Linked DNA regions of Rhinolophus ferrumequinum. The protein of the gene in region 2 interacts with the protein of the main gene of each other region in a biochemical or structural test. Links are inferred from orthologs where the notes say so. Each region holds a gene or a part of one and is shown on either strand. Other genes may lie near its edges.

Region 1 (10,540 bases), on a different chromosome or scaffold from region 2:
TATATTTTAAACAAGGGAAAAAAGGAAATTCTCAAACTTGTGTAAAAGTTAGCACACAGCTAGGTTATCAGTTTGCACACCTCCAGGGGGCTCCGTTTCCAGTATTTTGCTTTAGAGGGACCACCTTACACAGACTACATTGTGAATGGTGTCCTTAGCAACTGTGCGACTCCATGGTCATGAAGCATAATAACTAGAAAGAGACCCAGAGCTCATGTTATTTCCTAGCTGTTTTGAATATTTAAAACTTTGGTGTTCAGGGCATGGCCAACTACACTTTCTAACAACTTTATGCCCTTTCTCTTGAATATTCGTATACTGTTCCTTCTGCCTATAATAACACTTTCCCATCTTTCAACTTGTAAATTCCTACTAGATCCTTTAAGATTTCCATCTGGGAATCCTGCCCTAGTTTGGCTGCCCCATATCTGGGCTTTCACAGTACTCTACGCAAACCACTCTCAGAGCCCTTACCACAATGCATTACAATGATGAGTTTATGTATCTCTCACTAAACTGTGAGCTCCTTGAGGGCAGAAACTGATTTTTCTCTCATGGCATTCCAGTTCCTAGTATAGTACCTGAATTATAGTACCATTTATCAATATTCTCATTGTGCTAAAAACAAAACTTAAATTAAGAAAGCAAGAGACAACAGTTATACTTTAGATGAAATGTTAAATTCAAAATAAAGCTTTTTTTCTCTCATCTTGCAACATGCTCACATAGCAGTAACCAAATCAGCACTATTTAAGTGCTCAAAGTATATCACGTTCCCCCGCCCTTAATCTATTATCATCTATTGATGATCAGCTTTCTATATTAACTGCAACCTTCTTTCCTCCTTATGAGAATCCAGAACAGAGCCAGGCAGGGTCAGGGGTACCCTGCAAATCTAAGCCCAGATGGCTACTTGCACTAGAGAACCTTCCAACACCGAGATTCTCTATTGTTTACTACCAAAGCAAAATCCTGGGCACTTACAACTAATAACTAGGTCAACTATTTATACCTATTAATTGCGTATCTGACTATATTACAGCCTTAAACATTTGGTTTTACAAGTACTGGGCCCCCTCCAATAATGAGTTCAAGGGACTACTTTAAGTCCCTAAGTCTAAACCATTCTAACAAAAGGAAAAGATAACATCTAAAAAAAAAAAATTAAATGACTCAAGACAGACATACAATGTATCATACATCCATTATACCAGACATAGTTCCTTTGGGTCTACAAAATGGACAGCAACCCCAACGGGACCATTTTTAAAGACCTGACACTTCTGCAGTCATTTCCTTTGCATTTTACCAGATTCTGTCACTACATCAAGCCAAGGGACCAGTTTCCACATTAACCAGCACAATATGATGACCAGTCAGTGAGTTGTGAGACATAGTCAGTAAGAAGGAAGCCTTTACCTTGAGAACTCTGGCTCAGCCGGGCTGAGGAGCGGGTGACGCGGGCAGATCGCCGGGATGTGCCATCACTCTCTGAACTGTCTGTGTGCTCGAGATCTGTAGAAAAATCGGAATCTTCGGTTCCATCTGAACTACTGCCTGCATTCCTCTGTAACACCATAGATCCAGACATTAGCACAGAAGCATTTACTCTGTGGGTTTATATTAACACTGGAAATAAAACGAACTGTGATGCCAAAAACACCAACTTCAAACCTAAAAAAGGATTCCACAGCCAACTTCCTGTTATTTAGAGCATTTAAGTGGAACAACCTAGAAATAACGTACCTTTATTAAATAAATGAAGGAGAATTAACTCTTGCTGTATTAAGACAAATTTAATTCTAAAACAAGTCTATTTGGAGGTCAGTATTACAAACTGGAAACAAATGTACCCAATTCAAAAAGGTATGGCTGCCATAACTATGGACTTACAGAAAGTCCAAGGTACTGAGAAAAATGTTAGACCCCATTTAACTTTAGGGTAGCTCTGGTTCAAAGTCTCCATGAACAGTCATCACATTTTAAAAAGCCATATACACTGATTCAAAATATCATGGTCACAACTCTGATCCCAAAAGAACTTAAGCATAAAAAGAATAAAATTCTTCTTTCTTATGTTATCTATATTTGAAGTTTCTCCACGAGTGCCAAAGGTGCTTACAAAAATAAAAACAAAAAAGGCAGCTTGTACACAAAGACTTGTAGGCATTCAGAAAGAGGATTTTTAGCTTCCTTAGGCATGATTAGCCATAAGCACAGTTTTTATCAATTGAGCGTTAACACTAAACCAGAAAGGAAAGCTTATTTGCTAAAAAAAACAATACAGAGCTTCAGATTACAAGTCTCCTATTCTTTATTCAAAAACCTTAGGACTTTATTTAGAATTTCATTATTTTTTAGATTTTTGGAAAGACAATACTTTGCATATATCCTGCAAATAACAGCCCATAATTAAACACATTAGTATTCCTGCAGGAAAATATATAATCACACTACCAAGGAGACCCACAAAAAATATAAGTAGCCTCCGGACAGTTTAGGACAGGTTTTGCCACCAAATAAGTTACAAAAAAACTTCCATTTTCAAGAGTTCTTTGTATTTGCGGGGGGGGGGGGGGGGGGGGGGGACTGTGGACCTATTCCAAGCAAGGCACCAATACTATTCCTGCATTTGGTGAGCCTTAACATAAGCACCACCTAGCAATGTAGGTCATTTTAGAAGACATTAAAAAATATATTTTATTTGAAAGCCTCTGTGAAAATAAATATTTCTGCAGAAATGAGCAAGAATACTACCCAGCTTTCCAAATAGTTCAAGGGTAATCTGCCCAGAAATGAATGGACATCACAGAACATCCAGAGGAAGAAGGGGGGGGTTAAAGGTCATCTAGTCCAATTACCCAGATACTTGAATCCCTGATTATCTCTGACCATCCCTTCCTGGCTCCATCCTGGAACTCAGCTCTTCTCTTCAGCTTCCACCAATCTACTTCCCATCTTACTCCAGAGCAGACTGACTTACTCCCTCACTTCCCTCCCCTAACTCTTTGTACATATACTTCTAAGTAGAGAATTTACTGGATCTTGTTTTCCCCCATCAGACTGTGATTTCCTTAAGCCAGGGATCATGTCTAATTAATTTCTGAACCCCCAGCAACCAGAACACTGCAAGTAGTCAATAAACATTTGCTGAATTGAATCTGTTCTGCAGTGCTGGCTCTGCCACCGCCTAAATGAGTGGCTTGGGACACTCCAGTAGGCCTGTTTGTTCAGCGGCAAAGAGATGGGGGTGTCCCAAAGAGATCTCATAAGTCCGGTATAAGTTTCTGAATTTACTAACTGCATTTTCTAGGGCCTGTCCAACTAAGCAAATAAGCAAAAATTACGGCTTAGATGCAATAGGACAGAGTGGGATCCCTTGGGAGTGGGCGCTGGTTCTTTGCCACCCACTCTTCTGCTTTGTTATGCCCCCCGCCCGGAAAAAAAAAAAAGAATGCTCCCAAACTCCGCCTCTCCACCTATCAGCATCAGCAGCCAGAAGGGCGTGGATTCGTGCCATCCAATAGTGGTCCCGCTAAACCGCGCCCCCACGGGACAGACTGCCAAGCCCAGCCAATCAAGAGAGGAGAGATCGCTCTCTACAGCCAGTCTGAAAGTCGAACAGCCTGGCCCAGACACCGCCCCCGCACGCGGGGAGGTGACCGTTGGGCCCAAATGGGCGGTGTCATCAGCCAATCAATATGCTTCTAGACGTTTCAGCGACCAATTAACGAGAAGAACGCCTCCGAGCCAGGCAAGCAGAGGGCGGGAATAGTTGCAAGCACAGGCCGAGGCCAGGGTCGGGCCCACATTTTTCTGTTGGGTATGGACAGAAGAGAGGGTTGCCAAGCTAGGTTCCGGGGAGCGGGAAGTTGGAACCCAAGGAGTGTGAGGCGTGGCCAACTGCGTCACGTTGCCCAGTCGACTGTCCTTAGAAACCCGCCATCCCTCCTGTCCCGTTCTTACCTTCCTTCGCGGCATTGCCGGCGGCTGCGGCCCGACGGTTCCGATTCGGGCAGCGGCGGCAGCAGCAGTAGGAACGGTGGCTCCGGCGGGCTCCGTGGCGGCCACGGTAGCAGGCCCAATCCTGCGGACGATCCCAAGTGCCTCCTGCTTCACAGCGTCTAGAGCTTTCTGCGCAGGCGCCGCGGGCTGAGGCGCTTTTTCCTTCACTTCCGGCTGAGGCTCACGTCACCTGACGTTACGGGCCAGATGGGTGCTGGGAAGTTCGCTCCTTCTGGTGAGGCTAGTGAGCGCCATGCTGGAATTGGGCACAAAGTAGAAACGGGGGCCAGCCATTTCTAGTTAGGGGAATGGCACCCTTTGTGGACGTGAGTAGCCATTATTGTTTGGGGCAGAAGCCTGACAGTTGAAGTTAACTCTTCTCATCTTTACCTTGGGCAAAATTTCCCTTCCCGGTTGTTTTAATTTCTGAAATCGAGGCAGGAAACCCCCAGAATTCATCAGGTTGTTGAGATTTAACCCCTTCGTTGCCCAATTAGCTAAAGGATGTTTCCGTTTACCATATAAACTCAAAGTTGAGATGGGATATTTTGCACAAGAAACTATTTTAAGAACCACCCCGTGTCTCAAAGTGGTAGGAATGGGGCCTTGTAAAAGGAACAAAAGGATAGGGTCCATCATCAGGAAGTTTCTTGTCTGGTAGAGGAGACATTGTCCTTGCCCTTAGCGAACAGCAAGTAAGTCGTTCACGTCGCGGAAGGAGGCAGAACCATTCTCCAGAAGTTGTAGCTCCAAAGAATTCCCAGTTCTGTGGTGAGCGGCCACCTCCTTCCCCAGTTCTTATGGGTTCGAGAGCCCTGGGTGGCCCGCGGAAGGTGGATGCGTGGGGTGCCGTACCAGAATCGAAGAAGCAATGAACCCCATTTAGCCCAAATGGCCTCTGGAAATCCAGATGCTTGAGGCAGGAGTTGGGGGAGGTAAGAAGAAGAAGGAATAGTTTTAGTGAAGCTGAAGCTAAAAGAGGCATGTGTATTTAAATAATAATAATAGAGCCTGCTTTGAGAGGGCCCAAGAAGGAGAATCTGGTTAAGGATGTAAGGCTGGATGCAGAGCCTTAAGAAAAGGCAGGGAAGTGGAGAGCAGGCTTTGAGGATTTAAACTCGTTGGAGGAAAAGCCTTGAAAGGACCAAAGCTTGACCAAGAGCAACTGGGTGAAATCCAGGCAAGCTCAGTCATTAAGTTAGGATCCTGGACCCCGGTTTCACCTGAGGCCAACTAAGATGGAGATTTCCCAAAATGCAGAGCTAAAGAACAAAGCAGCAGGAGGTAAACATCTGATTGATGTGCTAAACAGAGTTAGAGTTCCAGGCCCTCAGCCAGCATTCTCCTTGGGGATATCCTAGGCAGGTTTTAACCCAGGCGGCTTTTAGTGTTTAGTATAAATACCTTCGAATAATCTACTTAGGTTGAACTGCACATAAGAACTTATTTGAAAAAGGCTTGAGTTGCTTGTTTGTGTATCCCCCACGCCCAGTACTTAAGCATTTAGTTTCACACTATTACTGTTATTTTGCACTCACTGGTGTGTTCCTGAGCTCATTCTTGGATGTCTGGCTCCCCAACTAGTGGTAAGGAGCTCTTATGTTAAGAGTATTTCTTTTCTTTTTTTTTTCAAGGAGGGCGCAGCTCACAGTGGCCCGTGTGGGGATCGAACTGGCAACCTTGGTGTTACTAGCACCACACTCTAACCAACTGAGCTAACCGGCCACCCCGTTAAGACCATTTCTCAGTTCTTTCTTACCATCCTTAATAGTGCCCACACCATGCTCTACCCACAGTAAGTGCTTGCTGGTCAATCAGAATGTTTACTGTTTCACAGTCTCTGAATGTATAGCACTCAAAGATGGTGAATTTAGTATTTTAGAATAAGATCGTACCCTAACTTAACCATTCATCATACAAATACCAGTCTTATAAATGTTTGACATTAGTTAATCTCTTTCATTAGATTTTCAAAACTGCAGCTAACAGTAAAAGAATTTACAGTTTCATTTAGACATGATTCTTGTCCTTGGAACGTGTACACTCTGGCGGCGTGAAAAAGCTAACACCAATAGGATAGAAATATAAGGAAAATGTGGACTTGAGATGAAAGCTATATATTTAGAATGGGGAAAGGGGAATCCTGAGAGCTATTTTCTTTCTTCCTTTCTTCTTTTGAACCAAACATAGTCTTTACTTCGAGTGTCCTTTTCGTCATGACACAGTTAACTCTTGAAGCCGGAACTGATACTGGTTTCAAAGGCTTTGACCAGTGCTCTTCTGTCCATCCTCATCTGCCAGACTTCACATAGGTAGCTCTGCTGTTCTTCCTGCCTCGGTACGTTTCCCAACCTTCTTTAAAATTTACTTTCTTCAGAAAGTCCTGATTTATTATTTCCTAGGTAGTAGAGCATGCTATGGTATTTTGCACTTACTGCTACATTTACACTTTTTCTCATACAATTTGGTAGCTCTTCTGTTCTCCTCTGTCCCTCCCAGACAAATAATAGGAACATAGAACTCCTATTTGTTTATTCATCAGCTCTACTAGTGTCCAGTACAGGGCTTTGATGTCAGACCTGGATTTGAATTTCAGCTCTGCCACTTTCTATCTGCATTGCTCTTGGACAAGTTTTTAAATTTATCTGTGCCTCAGTTTTCTCATTTGTGACATGGAGACACTAATAGCCACCTCACAGGGTTGTCGCCAGGATTAAAGGAGATGATTGTTGTAAAGCACAGTTCCTTACCAAGTAAGTGCTCAGGAAATGGTCGTTGTTATTCATATTTATTATTCCAGTCACCCTAGTCATGGCTATGACATCGTAATGTTTGTGAATATATCTTTATATGGTCTCAATGGCTCTTTGCTTTTGTCTGTTCTACTTCAGCTCAAGAGACACAGAATAATTACCCAGGCATTGTATACCAGGCATTGAGTCACGCCACTGAGGACAAAACACCATGCTTCCCCAGGCCAGTAAGCTCTTTGTTCCAAAACACTATGGAGTATTATTAATAGGAAAACAGAAGGATGAGCAAGCTTCGGAAGTGGTGCAGAAGAGGGAGTGGAGTGTTTTGACTGGAGAGTTTAGGAAAGGATTGATAGAAGAGGTGAAATAAGAGTGGGATTTTATAGGACAAGTACGTTTACCAGTGGACAAGGAGAATAGGGGCTTTCTGTGCAAAGGAAACAGCATGTGTAAAAGCACAGAGAAGTAGAGCAGCATTGTGTGTTGTGCGAGTGACTAACGGCATGGTGGAGTTGCCAAAAAAAGAGACAGGAATGATTTGGGGAACAAGTTCATGCAGAGCCTTGAATGCCCTGCTAAGGAGCCTGGCCTGGAGGTGATGGAGAATCGCTGAAGGACTTTAAGCAGAGGAGTCCCACGATCACACTTGCACTTCAAAGATCTCTTTCTGGAAGCCGTGATGGATACTGAACAGAGTGGCAGGGAGTCCTGAGGCCAGGAGACCGGTTACAACGCTGCTATAATAACATTCCCTGGAGTGGAGGGAGAACTGAACAGGGCAAGGGTAGTGGGGCCAATCCTTTGGGTATGTCCTTGTGCATTTTCTTTCTTGTAACTATATCTTGTCTCCTCAGTTACATTTGTGAACTCCCTAAAAGATCCCTCAATTTCCTTTCAAATGCTCCCCTTGCCAGTAAAATGATAGGTCCCATATTTCAAATAAAAAGTGTAGTTGTTCATTGTTTGCTTCAAAGGCCTGGGAGCTCATGGAGGTTGGGAGCCTTGCCTGGCTGGCCACACTGTCTCCAACTTCAGTCTCGCAGCCTGGCATCTAAAAGGGCTCAGTAAATGGGGTGGCCACTGCCACGTGTTGGCTCAGTTAGGAAAGACTTGCACAGAACCAGCCATCATCTCTCCTCTAAGCCTCTTTTTGACTATGTGCCTAGGGGGAGTTAGGAACAACAGTTTCCCTGTGGACGGATAACTAACTGTCCTGTAAGGTGGGCACGCATGCCTTGACCTTTTTAAGACAAAGCTAGAGTAGCCAGGCCAATCTCGTAACTTCTGAGTACACGTATGGGTGTAGTCTTTATCCCTTTGGGAGACTCTTAGAGGTTGCTGATGTGACCACAATTCATAGTAAAATCTTTTCATCAACATAGTCATGACGGTCACTAATGGTCCTTCCTTTTTTACTCTTGCCATATATGGCCTGGGACTTCTCTTACCTTCTTGGCCACTTGTTCATTTGGTTCTGGTATCACTCTTATCCACCACGCACCCCCAGCCCCACCCTGGGGGAAGGTGTTGGACAGAGCCCAGCAGGCTCAGGCACAGCTCCCCGCCTCTGCAGCTGGGATTATAAATAACCACCAAAACTAAACAGTCAAATAACTGCATTTTGAAAATTGCTCAAAAAAAAAAAATCACTCTGATCCTGATTCAGTAGCTGTTCTCCTATTCCTGCCCATCATCTCCCGCCTTCCTCCACCATCTACCTCCCTTCCCTGATCCAAGCTCCCAAGGGAAGTCAATCTGCATAAAGCCGTGGTATGATGAAGACATCTTTTTCCATATTTGACAGGGCCAAAGCCCTCCAGGGCTGTAGTTATAGTTACACGACGTTGTTATGGCAGCAGAGGCCTCAGGGCAACATATGTTCCTGGGTGGTAATTGGGTTTGCTTTAACAGACGGTCTCTCCCTGGGTTCTCCATGCCCAAATTCACTTATCAAGACAACCAGGGAATTGCCATTATGGATGGGCCTACATTTTTTTATTCCAGCAAAACCAAATTCCTCTTTATTCCCCAGGATGGAATGTACCCAGTCATCATGGGTTGAGACTTTTTAGACTTTAGGCATTTTCATTTATTCATTCAACAGCTATTTATTGAGCATCTGATAAGGGCGAGGCATTGGGATGGGAACTGAATGCTCACTGTGAATAAATAGATGTGGTCCTTCTCCTCCTCAAACTGATGATGTGGGACAAAGTGTATAGCAGGGGGCTGGGGGAGGATGACTCACCTGCCCCAACCCCCTCCACTTTTCAAAAATTATTAACCCAGTGTAATAACACTACCTTTTTAAGAAAATAAAAGACATTCTTAAGCTCAGTGCTACCACAAAGCTATTTTTATTTTTTATATATTGCCTTCCAATTTTTCTCCACGTTTTTATTACATGTGCATATTTTTGTATAGATGCATTCATTGTTTACATGAAATTTCATATTTTTTACACATTCTCAACATTTTCCATGTTCCTCTAATAGTCTTCATAATTGTAATCACTGTGTAGCATTACCTTGTACTGTGGCATAATGTACTCTCACTCTGCTACGTGAGGTTATTGAGGGTGTTTTATGTTAGATAATGTTGCAGTGAGTATTTGCATGCATTTGTAGCTCTCTCTTGCTTTTATTTCTACCTCTTACATATTGCTTGATTTCTTTCCCCAAAGACTTGGCCACATTTAAAGTGTCACCATCATTGTGTAAGGGTGCTAATTTTAAGACATTGTTCCCAGAACTGAGTGTTACCACTTTAGTAGAAATGAAAACTGCACTTCAAATGTGCTTTTAATTTTGTTGCTGTAGTTAAGATACACTTCAGTCTTCCATGTGTGTATTTACAAGTTCTGTTTCCTCTTCTGTGAAATCCTATTATTCATTTCTCTACTGGGTCTTAATGATTTTTCTTTTAAGTTTGAATTATAGATAGATAGATAAATAGATTCTCTGTCTGAGCCACATTCAGTTACAGAGTCAGTGTTATTAAGAAGGCACAACATTTGCTTCATGGTTATTTCTCTAGTCTTTTTCTCCTCACTTGCGCTCTGGCTTTCTAGTTACCTAGTGGTAAACTCTTTGTCAAGTATGCATGCTATTGAGAAAGAAAATGCGATTGTGAACAGAATGTGTAGATGGCATATGTGATACAATGAAGAGGCAGGATATGTCTGACTTCAGCAAGAGTTGAGGGCTATTTTACAGACTATAGTCATTCTTGCCCACTGTAGGAACCATGAAGGTGGTTCTGCAGACACTTTTTATTTTCCTGGGAGAAACTGAGTCCCAGAAAAAAATGTTTCCCAAACCAGTCAACTTCAGGGGGATGAAAAATGACCTGCATGCTGTCATTTGTAAACTGTGGGTCATTTGCTTTGTTGGGAGATGCCTTCCCAGGAATGGGGCCCAGGAATGGGGCCCTCTGAGTCACTTACACATGCTTATCCAGTCTCCCTTGTGACTAACTGTACCCAGATGTGAATCAACTGGCCAAGGTGAGGGATGCAAGCTATAACTAGGAAAAACATTTCTATATTCAAAGCAAACCAGCACATACATGTTCCAAATCCACAATCTTGGTCTTCTAAGTTTTGCTCTAATCAACTGAGGTTACTGATCTCAACCCAGTCCCAGGGGTTAAGAATGATTTTCTCACTTCTCTGGAAGTTACTTGAGGATGAGTGGGCATCTGGTCATTTTCTTATCTGCCTAGCTTTGCCAGTAGATGTCACTACACCAAACCACATTCTCTCCAAAGATAGGACTGGAAGG
Region 2 (10,686 bases):
GGAAAACCCCTGAGGCTCCTACTTGGGGCCAGTGTACACTAAGTTATAAAAACTTCTAACAAGCTTCTTATCTGATTTTCAAGCCAATAACCAACAAGCAGAAAAATGACTGTTCTAGACAGGCATTTTAACTACAGTTCGTGGTTAACAGTGATATAAAAGGATCAGACAGAAATCATAAAAAGAAGTCACCAGAATTTAAACACTAAACTGGAAGCCAGGATACATTTAAAAGTATCCAGCGAATCCCTGAAATGACATGCAAGTTTCAGGGCTACTTGCTTTTTCTTGGGGAGTTTCCACAGCTTTAGGGCTCAAAAGAGCCCTTGACTTTAAAAAGTTACACTCCACCAGGACTCTGCCCACACTTCTTAAATGCGTCATTAATCTCAACGCAGAAATAACTGATGCTCATAAAGCTGGCCGTGAGTAATCAAGAAAAATCTTAAATCGTGTTAGTGTACTTTGGGCTAAACAAAAGCAAACCACACAGCTCAAACTCCAGCAACTTGTTAAGCCAATACTGACTCCTTACCCAAGAGTAAGGGGTACAGGAAACAAATGCTCATTTTATTCTTCAGCTTGGACTCTTACCACTGAAATCCTCACTTAAAATAACTGCTTAGAAAGTGTCTTAGAAGCTGTCATGAAGTTTCAAATTAATAGAATCCCCTGTGCAGACACTAAATGATCAATATTAAAAATATGTTATTACCAGTTGGGAGTGCTTTCAAAACAAGATAAAACTGTGGTTTAACTTCTTCTACAAGTAAGCCCAACCGAACCTAAGGTTTTAAAAATGAACTTACTTCAACTGTTCTCGGTCACCTTATTACTTCTTGACTCAACCTGAAGAACCAAACACAAAAAGTAAATACTAGGCTGGCTGTAGAGTAACCAAGTTTGGTCCCTGGACCTCCATTAAGTGCACATCTGGTCTAGGGTTAATAAAGGAATTCAAAATGGAAATACACAGTCCCGTCACCAGCGACTAAGCTTTCCACTCCACGTCTGACAATCTTTTTGTTGCTGCTCTCAGGTGAGGAAAGACGTCCTTAGTAATAATCATTCAAGGTCTAGGCTAGTTAAGGCCACAGTAACACTGCCTGAGTCAGCATCAATACCCTCTTAGACTAGACTTTCTCTCCCTTTCATGACACTCCACTCTAGCTAACTTATAAACCCGATGCCGTCCAGGGCCACTCTTTCATTTGTTAGGAATGCAGAGTAACTTACTCCATCTGAGCACACCAGTTGGGAAAACATCAAAATCTTTACCCTCACAATCAGACCAATATTTTTAAGTACACCACGCACATGACAATAGATTCTCCTTCAATTAAGTCTCAACTTTCTGAAATGTCACATACCAAAATAATAAATATTAACTTGTCCAGATTTTAAGTAAATGTCACATAAAGTGCTGCAACATCTTGAAAGTGAAGAAAAGATTGAACATAATCGTCAAGGAAACTTACTGTCCCAGGAATTAAAATACTTTCCCAATTGAGGTTCCTACCACGTAAGAAACTAAAAATTCCAAGCAAAGCCAGCTTTTATTTAAAAAAAAAACCTTTTTTATAAAAAGGGCATTGCTGAATATGGTACCAATGTTGTAACCTGTAGGCTTGGACAGGGAGGAAAGAAGTGTAACACTGATATAACTCACCGTTTGAACAAGCCCAACTTTTTAATCCCAATCCAAATTAAAAGCAAGATGTACTGGCTAAATGTATTTTCCTCCAGAGGATGTTTATTTTATTCTCCTTGTGGGAAAAATAATGCAAATTCTGACAAACCATAACTGTACTGGAATAACAGGTACCCATAACACTAAAGGAGGGAAAAGCTTCACCAATAGGAAGTCAGGAGGCAGAACTGTGAGGATGTATACACCTCCTCCACTCCTGACACAATCCTATAGACATGATCTGATCAGTGTTTGATGGTTTGGTGTTCGCTGTTCCAACTCAGTACTGAAAGAAACAGCTGATAATTTTTTCCAACAAGTCTGTGGAGATATATATACATCAGGCAAATTTCTTTAGTCTTTTCAAACAGAATCTCCAAATCTAAGACTTTCAGATTACAATAAAATGCTATTTTGACTTCCAACTTTTTAAAAATCCAGTCATGATTAATTCCAAAGGCTTGTCTCCTAAATGCCAGAGGTTCTGTCAGAAAGTTACTATAGATTAAAACCCACTTATGAGAAATAACCAGGTGTAATAAATGATCCTCGACGGTACAGTTTTAGACAAAGCTGCTGTTGTATTTTGCGGCCAACTGAGGGAATCTGAGTATGTCCCAGTAATAGATGAGATGAAAACTTCCCAAGCTAGCTGGCAGGGGAAAAACACCCCTTACAGAACTTTATATACAGTATGATCTCTTTTTTATTAAAACATACATACATATGCATACACAATTGCCTGGAAAGTGATGCAATGGTGATCTCTGGGTGGTAGGAATGTTATTATATTTGCTTCTCTGCATTTTCTGAGTTTCAACAATATACATGTAACACCACTTCTGTAATAATACTTTAAGTCACCAAGGGCTCCTTGACGTCAAACATCAGTATTTATGAAGTGCCTACTATAGGTGAGACACATGGAGATCTGCTTTTATTCTCATCAAGTCCTCCAAGATTTGTTTTGTTTTTTTTGGTTAATCCTTCTCCCCAAGCCTCTGGGCTAAGCAATAGTCATTTCTAAAATAATAGCATTTCCTTAAACCCCAAAGAGTTTTCTCTCTCTCTCACTCTCAGGCACACTAATCATTTTTCGCTGATTTCCCTTTATTGCTATTTTTTCAACCTTGCTAACTAACATAAAACTAAAACACTGGATTGTAGGCTGAAAACCTGTCAAGTGATGGAGAAGGAACTAATATCGTGGGGTTTTTTTCCCTTTAAAATGAACATCTAGCTAGTTTGTCAAAGTTAAAATCTCTGTGGCAATGAACCCAACTTTTCTTACTAGAAAGCAGCCGATGTATGCTCTTAAGATGGAATCATGTTCAAGTTCTACTGCATGTCAGGTAACAACCTTTATCTCGGGCCAGTGTAAGGATGAAGGGAGATATGGGAAAACATAACACTTAAATAGCTGAAAAAACTATTAGTTCTGAATGTGGAAGTGAAAATGCCAGATCATGTAAACATAAGCAAAATACCAAGCAATCAGAAAGTCATCTGATTTGAAAGTGACATTAAATGAGACTGAAATATTAGGGATAGAAGGGCAATAAAAATTCTAGGCTGCAGTTATTTGCTAGAAGGTTGTCCCCCCACAAGAATATCCTAAGTATCTCTCCAACATGTGCTGCCCACTCCCCAACAAATTATTGATGCACTAATTTAAGTGTGGTTACTTGGAAGGTTTCCTTTTCCACCTAGAAGTGATTAAATAATGGTTATCAGTGATTTTTATCAAAATGCAACTTACTAGAAGTAATCCCTAACCATTGGTGGATCACTACCTAAATCAGCTTTCAGGAAAATAATTTCCTCTGTCTCTTAAAACTAGTTCATTAGCTTTGTAAGGTATTAGCCTTGGGCTACGAGTATGTAACTAGAGAGCTAGTCTTTCACAGCGGGTTTCTAAAAAGGAAAAATAGATCACCTAATAAAAACCTCTGGGAAAGAAGCCCCCAAGCGTTCCCATCAAAGGAAACCTCAGATTCTCTCCCAATTTCCTGAAAATGTAGCTGTTTTAAGTCATTCGACTGCAGCTATCACTTTACAAAAAGAAATTTTAAATTCCCTCTTGGCCGGAGTAAACAGGGCGACAGATCCCCGTCCCCGCCGAGGCGAGGTGGGGCGCCCGCCTCCTCCTTACTAGAAAGCCAGCCAAAGCTGCTTTTAAACGGCCTCCGGCTGACGACGCATTCCTAACGGGTTTCGAAGGCACGTTTAAATCGCCCGCTTTTTTGTTTGCTCGCTGCATTCACCCGGCGCCGGGACTGCGGCCGCCCCTGCGCGCCCGGGAGGGGGAGCCCGGGGTGGGAAAGCCTGGGCCCGGGTGCTGGGGAGGCGGGGTGACGAGAGCCGGGAGGACCCCGGGATGGGGGGCCCGCCTGGGAAGGGGAGGGTGTGGGGGGGTCTGAGGGGAGAAGGCTGGGACCCCAGGAGGGCGATGCGGGGATGTGGGGAGCTGGGCCGCCGCCCCGCGCAGAGAGCACACCGCGCGGCTCCCGCCACCCGCCCGGGTGCACGCAGGGCCGCGGCGCCGCCCCCTCCCGCCCTCCTTCCCTCTGCTCCCGAGGCGACAGAAACAACAGCGCGGGAGGAGGGGAAAGTAACTCCCGGCACCTCCGCCGGAATTAGCCCCGGTGCAGTGATGACACCTTCTCGTGGCGCAACCAAGCGCCGCTCCCTCCGCAGCGACGTCCCCGCCGCCGCCCTCTCCATTCGAAAGTGGCCACCCCCCGCCGCCGCCGCCGCTCCTCCCGCCCCGCCGCCGCCAGCTGCACCAATCCGCTCGGCCCCAGTTGCAAATCAAACGCTCCCTCGCGTCCAGAAGCCACTTGCGCCGCTGGAAACGGCAGCGCCGTCCCCCTCCCCGAGTCCCTCCCGGGCGGCACCTTCGGGCTGGGCGGGCGCTCGGCGAGAAACGGTTGTGCGAAGGGAGCGGCGGCGAGCAGCCCCGAGCGGGCTCGGCTCCCGCTCCCACTCCCGCCCCCAGACAGTTCTGGAAACTGTGTATCACCTCTGTCACAGGAAGCCATCCGGCTAGGAAGGCGGCGCGGAACCAACAAACAAACGCCTGCGGCCGCCTGCCGGAATCGGCGCGGGGACAGCCACGGGCTTCGAGCCTTTCTCTGGGCGGGGGCGCGGCGGTCGCCCCCACGCCGCGGGCTTTGTGCGGGGCGGGCGCGGCCGGCCGGGCGTCCCCGCCCCTGTAGCCCCCCACCCCGGGCCCCGGCAGCGCTGCTGGGACCGTTAGGTGACGCTCCGGCCGCGGCCGAGAAAGCAGCGCCTCGGCTGCCGCCCGCCCCCATTTCCACATGGAGCCGGCTCTCCTCCAACGCCAGAGGCGGGCTACAAAAGTTGGCCCCGGGGCCACCCAGCACCTGCCCACGTGCCGCGAAGGCTCGCTCCCGGGTCTCCCCCTTTCCCTCCCCCCCCCCCGCCGCCCTCGGCCGCCAGGTCACCTATTACCGGTGGGAGGGGAGAGAGGCTATTTAAACGCCCGCGGAAGTTGAGGCACCCCCACCGGCGGGTGCCGTGCACCTGCCTCCCGCCGCCGCGCTCCGCCACTTTGAGCAGCAGCCGAGTCCTCGGCCCCGCCTCCTGCCCGCAGGCGGGCGGGGGGGAGCGGGAAGGAGGTGGAAGGGATCGAATTTCTCCAGCAAATGGGACCGTTCCGACAGGATTCGGTTCCCCGGTCAACATTCCACATTCCATCCCTCTCCCGCATTTGCAAGCCAGCGCCAACAACCCGGAAAGCCTGCTGGCTCCCGAACAACAGCCCCCAACTCACAAACACACTCACAGGCATAAGACACGTGCACTAAAGGGCTTTGCAACTTGCAGTACCGGGGTACACACTGCACGTTCATTTAAGGCAGCGAACACCAAGCGACCCCACCCCCACAATTTGCAGATGGTGCCAAAGGTTTCAATTTGCAATCCGTTTTAAGTTCATGGTTAATCGGTACTTTGCTCTATCAATGCAACTCCTTCCTCATTTCACCGATGGAAGGTTTTACACTTTACAGGCAGTCTCGCTGTAAGTAAAAGGTCTGATCATTGGAAACCCAATTTGGAAGAATCTAAATTGCCAAGCTGTCCCTCCACCCCCTACTCACTGCCCTTGAATAGATGCAATGAATATTTTGGACATGTGGTGACGCGGTGACAAGAGCCGGGGCTGCGGCCACCCTACACAAATGTACCTACACACACACACACACACACACACACACACACACCTATGTTTAGAGAAATCCAGTCGTCCCCCCTCCACGGTCACACACACTCTGGATTCATATATGTATGCGAACCTGCGTTCTGCCATTGCCATCTGTCTACCAAGTTGCTACTATGCTTTCCACTTTCATGCAGCCTAATGCACTTTGGGGATTTTTTTTTAATTTTATAAACTAAAGCCAACTCAACTCGGCGTCTGCGCCTGAACGCGTTTAATTGATGCTTCACCTGAAAACCGCATGTTCTTCGCAAACCCAAAAGAAAAAGCTGCAAGTCTTCAGCCCCCCCAAAATGGAAAAATAATCGTAATAAAACTTACTGATCCAACATAAATCAATTCTCAGGCTCCAAAAATCATCCTCTCTTCCACCTCCTCCTCTGGCCCCCGCCCCGGCAATGCCCAAGTTACTGGTGGGATAGTAAGGCTGCGCTCGGCGGCTGCCTGCCCTCCCTCCTCGCTACATATCGAGAACCCAATCTTTTGGCGCCATATTAATGACGTACTATATTATTTCCACTAGGCAGCGACCTTCGGCATTAAATTACTCCCGAGAACTCCCGAGCAAAGCAACAAAACCATCAAATATGGCTGAGCCTCTCGGCTCGTCCTGCAGCCGCCGCCGCCGCGGGATCGGGACGCGCACACGGACCCACACGCGGACACACGCGCGGCGCGCCCCCCCGCGCGCCCCCCGCGGCCCGCGCGCGTACCTGCTGCGGAGGGGTTCGGCCGAGGCGCTGGGCTCCGCGCCGCTCGCTCGGTGCCGCATGAGTTCGGGCCGCGGAGGGCGGGCGGGCGGGCGGGGAGCCGGGCGGGCCCCTGCGTTCGCCGGCGCACACACACTCGGCACTCGCGCAGGGAGGCACTCTCGGACGGGCGTTTGGCTTGTTATGGAGGAAGGACTGTGTGAATCAAACTCATTTCTGGGTCACTGCTGCCACAGGGGGGAGCACTTTAATCCCTTGCCAAAACGAGAGGGTGGGGACAGGAGGGCGGAGGGAGCGCGCGGGGAGCCCGCGGCGCGGGGGGCTCCGTCCCTCCTTAACTCTTCGCGGCCCTCGCCGCAGCTGGTTCGGCCTGCGTCCGCGAGGGCTAGCGCTGCTCAGCTTTTAAAATCTCTTCCTTCACCTCCCTTGTGAGGCTAGAAATTCTTGAGGTGTCCCCAGCAGGGAGGTGGGCTTTTACATTATCTCCAAACTGTCTCACTTCCAACTCTTGTCTGACTGCACGGCACCTAGACATGGATTCTTTCAAATTAGTTTAAAATTATGTAGATAAAAATGTGGCTATTAAGGCGTACAATTTGGGTGAAAGGATTTATTTTTAGACTGAATAGCAAAATAAATAGTTCTTCTGTTTTGTAGTAACAGTTTTAGGGAGTTGTGAATTAGCATGACATTTTTAGATCCACTGAATCCAACTTTGGAGCTGGAACACGTCTTTACCTAAGTTAGTATCGAACTGATAATTGCAGATGAGCGTTAATTCATTAGGAGACTGATTATCAACTGACACCACTTTTCTGTTCCACAGGACAAGTATTACAGGACTGGACGTAGCCTTCCATATAGGAGACTTGAGCCTAATGCTAAAACTGGAGTTGCAGACTAATATAAAATTAGTCATCAGAGATTCATTTGGGGGGGTATTTATGTATAAAAATGAGTGTTACTGATTTTCCACAGACTACAAACTTGCTTTTTCATGTTTTTAACATTTCTTTCATGTACCCCCCTAAAGAATTATGGGTGTATATGACATTCAGCTTCAAAAGGTACGGATAAAAACTCCCATTCAGTAAACAGGAACAGTGATTACTAATTACAAAATTGAATATCGAACCCAAAGGTATATACTTATGCACTGGAAGAATTCTGAATATCTCAGGTTGGATTTCACACAATCACACACCAACCCATCCATCCACATCAAGAACATAATAATCTGATAAATGCATCAAAACAAAATTAATTGAGCCGTTCAATTATTTTTCAGAAAACAAAGTAAGCCAAAGGAAATCTTAAGTAGAGACATATACTGTTTCACTCACGAAGGATACAAAGACACCACATCAGCCCTATTCATGTGCTTACTTAATCCTGTTCAAAGAGATCACACATGTAAAGCACTATGTTATCATTATTACTATTATTAGTATCGCTTTGCAGTTATTATTTTCATTGTTTCACCTTACACATACTCTACTGTAGAAGTAAAAGCACACAGGTGGTTTGTAGCCAGACAGATCCTGTCTTGGACCTGGCTCTACCAGTTATCAGCTTGTGTGACTGTGGGGTAAATTACAGAACTCTGAGCCTCCATTTCTCCATAAGTAATAATAAAATGAGGTTAACAACCCCTACCTAAAAGGTTGTTAAGGGGAATGAGACAACCCCATAAAACTGCCCAGCAGAGGCCAGGGCAGTAGGAAGTTATCAGCTCCTTTGGCCATCCCTCCCATATGCCTTTCTTGATCTTCTTTCCATGGAAAATTGTAACTTCTAAATTCCAGCCAGACTTTCTTCACTCATTCTCCCTAAAAGAAAATTTTAAATCACATTTGTCACTTGCAGTTTTACTCATTTTTCTGACTATCCCCACTCTCAAAACATCAGGCAACTAAATCAAAGTACTGAGTAAATGGATGAAATAAATAAAGAGGTAAAACAGCACACAAATGTCCCATGTTGATACACTGATCAGGACTGATGTTCCCAGGGACATCCTCTCAACGATGCCAATTCTTCAGAATACTATGGGTGAGGTAGTGCCATGTGCTGTAAAACAGTCCTGGACTAGAAGTCAGGAGACTCCCATCAGCCCACACTAAAAATCTCTTTGGGCCTTAGTTTCCCCACAGAGATTGATAGATAAGATCAAATCCAACTTCTAATTTTTTATTGTTCTTACCAAACTTAAAAAGTGATTATTTGAAGAAATGGAAGACAATTTGAATCAGTGAGGAACATGTAAAAAGATATTTGGTCATTAATGATCAACTGTTGACATTTTTTAAATAATAGCTGTCTTTTGCTATCAGACCACTGAGGCAACTTTTATAAACCTATTTTTAAAATGGGAAAGGCAATGACACAGTTTGCCTTTCAGCAGTACAGGTAATGCAGTCTAGAATAAGAAGTATTAAGCTGACAGCTAGGAATATATGTTTCTGGTTCCACTCTGTCACTTACTGTCTTCCGGTACCAAATCATTGAGGATCACCGTAAAGTTGTTAATCCACACTTTATTATCATGGATGAAAGGACATTCAAGAAAATAGCTACATAGTAGTAAGTGTAGTTGAAATATCAGATTATAGTATTTTCTGATATGATCAGTGTTCTTCGTGATAATTATAATTCTACATATCCCTTAAATTTTGCTATAGTCATACACAGTTTAATTATTTTCTTCCATAATAATGGACTTTTATGTAATAAAATTTTGGATATTTACATTCATATTCCTGATTTGGGAACCATACATGATTACACTTACAGATGTTTACTTGTTATCTCGTTTGTGTTTCCTCTGTAAGTAAAGAATTATAAGACCTTGACAAGAGATTCAGAATTGTTCATATTTGAAGGGAGGTAGATGCATGCACTAAAGTCCAATCTATCTCATTCCTTTAATAAAATGTGCAAGAAATTCTTACTGGCCAATATCATTGCCAGTTGGTACGCATTATGACGCATAGAGAGAATTTTTTAGTGCACAAGTGGTCTCATGAATAAAATGGGTTGTGTTCTAAAACTTTATTTGTACTTTGTTTGGAATTTTGAATTTATGCCCCAAACAAAACATGTTATAAAGAGGTCTTAGGTTGTCAAGTAATTAAAAAAAATTAATAACTAAATGACAGAAAATAACTTTTTATTGACATTTTTAAATGATATTATTTGGGTGGGAAGGGATGTGTTTCAAAGCGGATAAGTGGGCATACTTTGAACAAGAAGAGTAAAGTTGGGAAGCCTATTCAGCCTATGCCTGAACCCCATGAGAAGAAATAGGAGGTCATGGGTAAAAGATTAGGACTAGAGCTCCTTGTCTGGCCAGTCGATGAGGCCACCAGTCCGGAACAGCCAGGTAAGTGGTTACAACCTTCAATTATAAGAAATGATTGAGTGGAAGGCCAATAACCCACACGTTTTTTGTTGGTGTCAGTACCCACTAAATTATTTTTTTCTTGAGGTTCTTTCTTCCTTTTTTTTCCCCCTTTGCTTGTTTTTGATTTTGGTTGTCTTAATTTTGTTGATTTTCATACTTTTAGCACAAATTAAGATACCAAAGAGAAACAAGTCTGAAGCCAGGTTGAGGGGCGTGGGGGTTAGTGTTGCGGTTTTTTAAAAAGTTTTTTTTACAAAAACTCGGGCTTTGTATGGAGAATGGATGTGTGGAAGTGAGACAGAGTTGGGGAGGCTAGATATGAGGCTTCTGCGATGACCTGGTGAGAGAGAGGGACTTGGATCACAGTCACTGCTATGGAGACAGTGGCACCGGCCTGTGATGGAGGCACAGCTCACTGCTCCAGCCCTTCCAAAGTCTCCAGCTTCCCAGGTCAGTGCCTGCTCTGGGAAGGGGAGAGAGCTCCTTCCTCCAGCCAATAAGGGATGTCTAGGGCACCGGGGGAGGGCTCCCACTAAGTACAAGCTATCAAATGGGGAGAGCAGCATCTAGGGGACCAAACGGAGGTCCTGCTGTACAGTGAACAGGCAGAAGCTTGTGCCATAAAACAAAATAATCAGCT

The links.
Region 1: the proteins of JADE1 (region 2) and KAT7 form a complex in vitro, tested with the Homo sapiens proteins (2 studies listed by BioGRID). The link is inferred for Rhinolophus ferrumequinum from reciprocal best matches to the Homo sapiens genes JADE1 and KAT7.

The regions. Positions count from the first base shown.
Region 1 is NC_046304.1:33,629,935-33,640,474, forward strand, and holds the start of KAT7 (histone acetyltransferase KAT7), read right to left. Parts: upstream 4,173-10,540; 5' UTR 3,982-4,172; coding exon 3,967-3,981; intron 1,568-3,966; coding exon 1,420-1,567; intron 1-1,419. UniProt on the Homo sapiens protein: Catalytic subunit of histone acetyltransferase HBO1 complexes, which specifically mediate acetylation of histone H3 at 'Lys-14' (H3K14ac), thereby regulating various processes, such as gene transcription, protein ubiquitination, immune regulation, stem cell pluripotent and self-renewal maintenance and embryonic development.
Region 2 is NC_046301.1:9,160,993-9,171,678, reverse strand, and holds the start of JADE1 (protein Jade-1), read right to left. Parts: upstream 4,735-10,686; 5' UTR 4,732-4,734; coding exon 4,713-4,731; intron 1-4,712.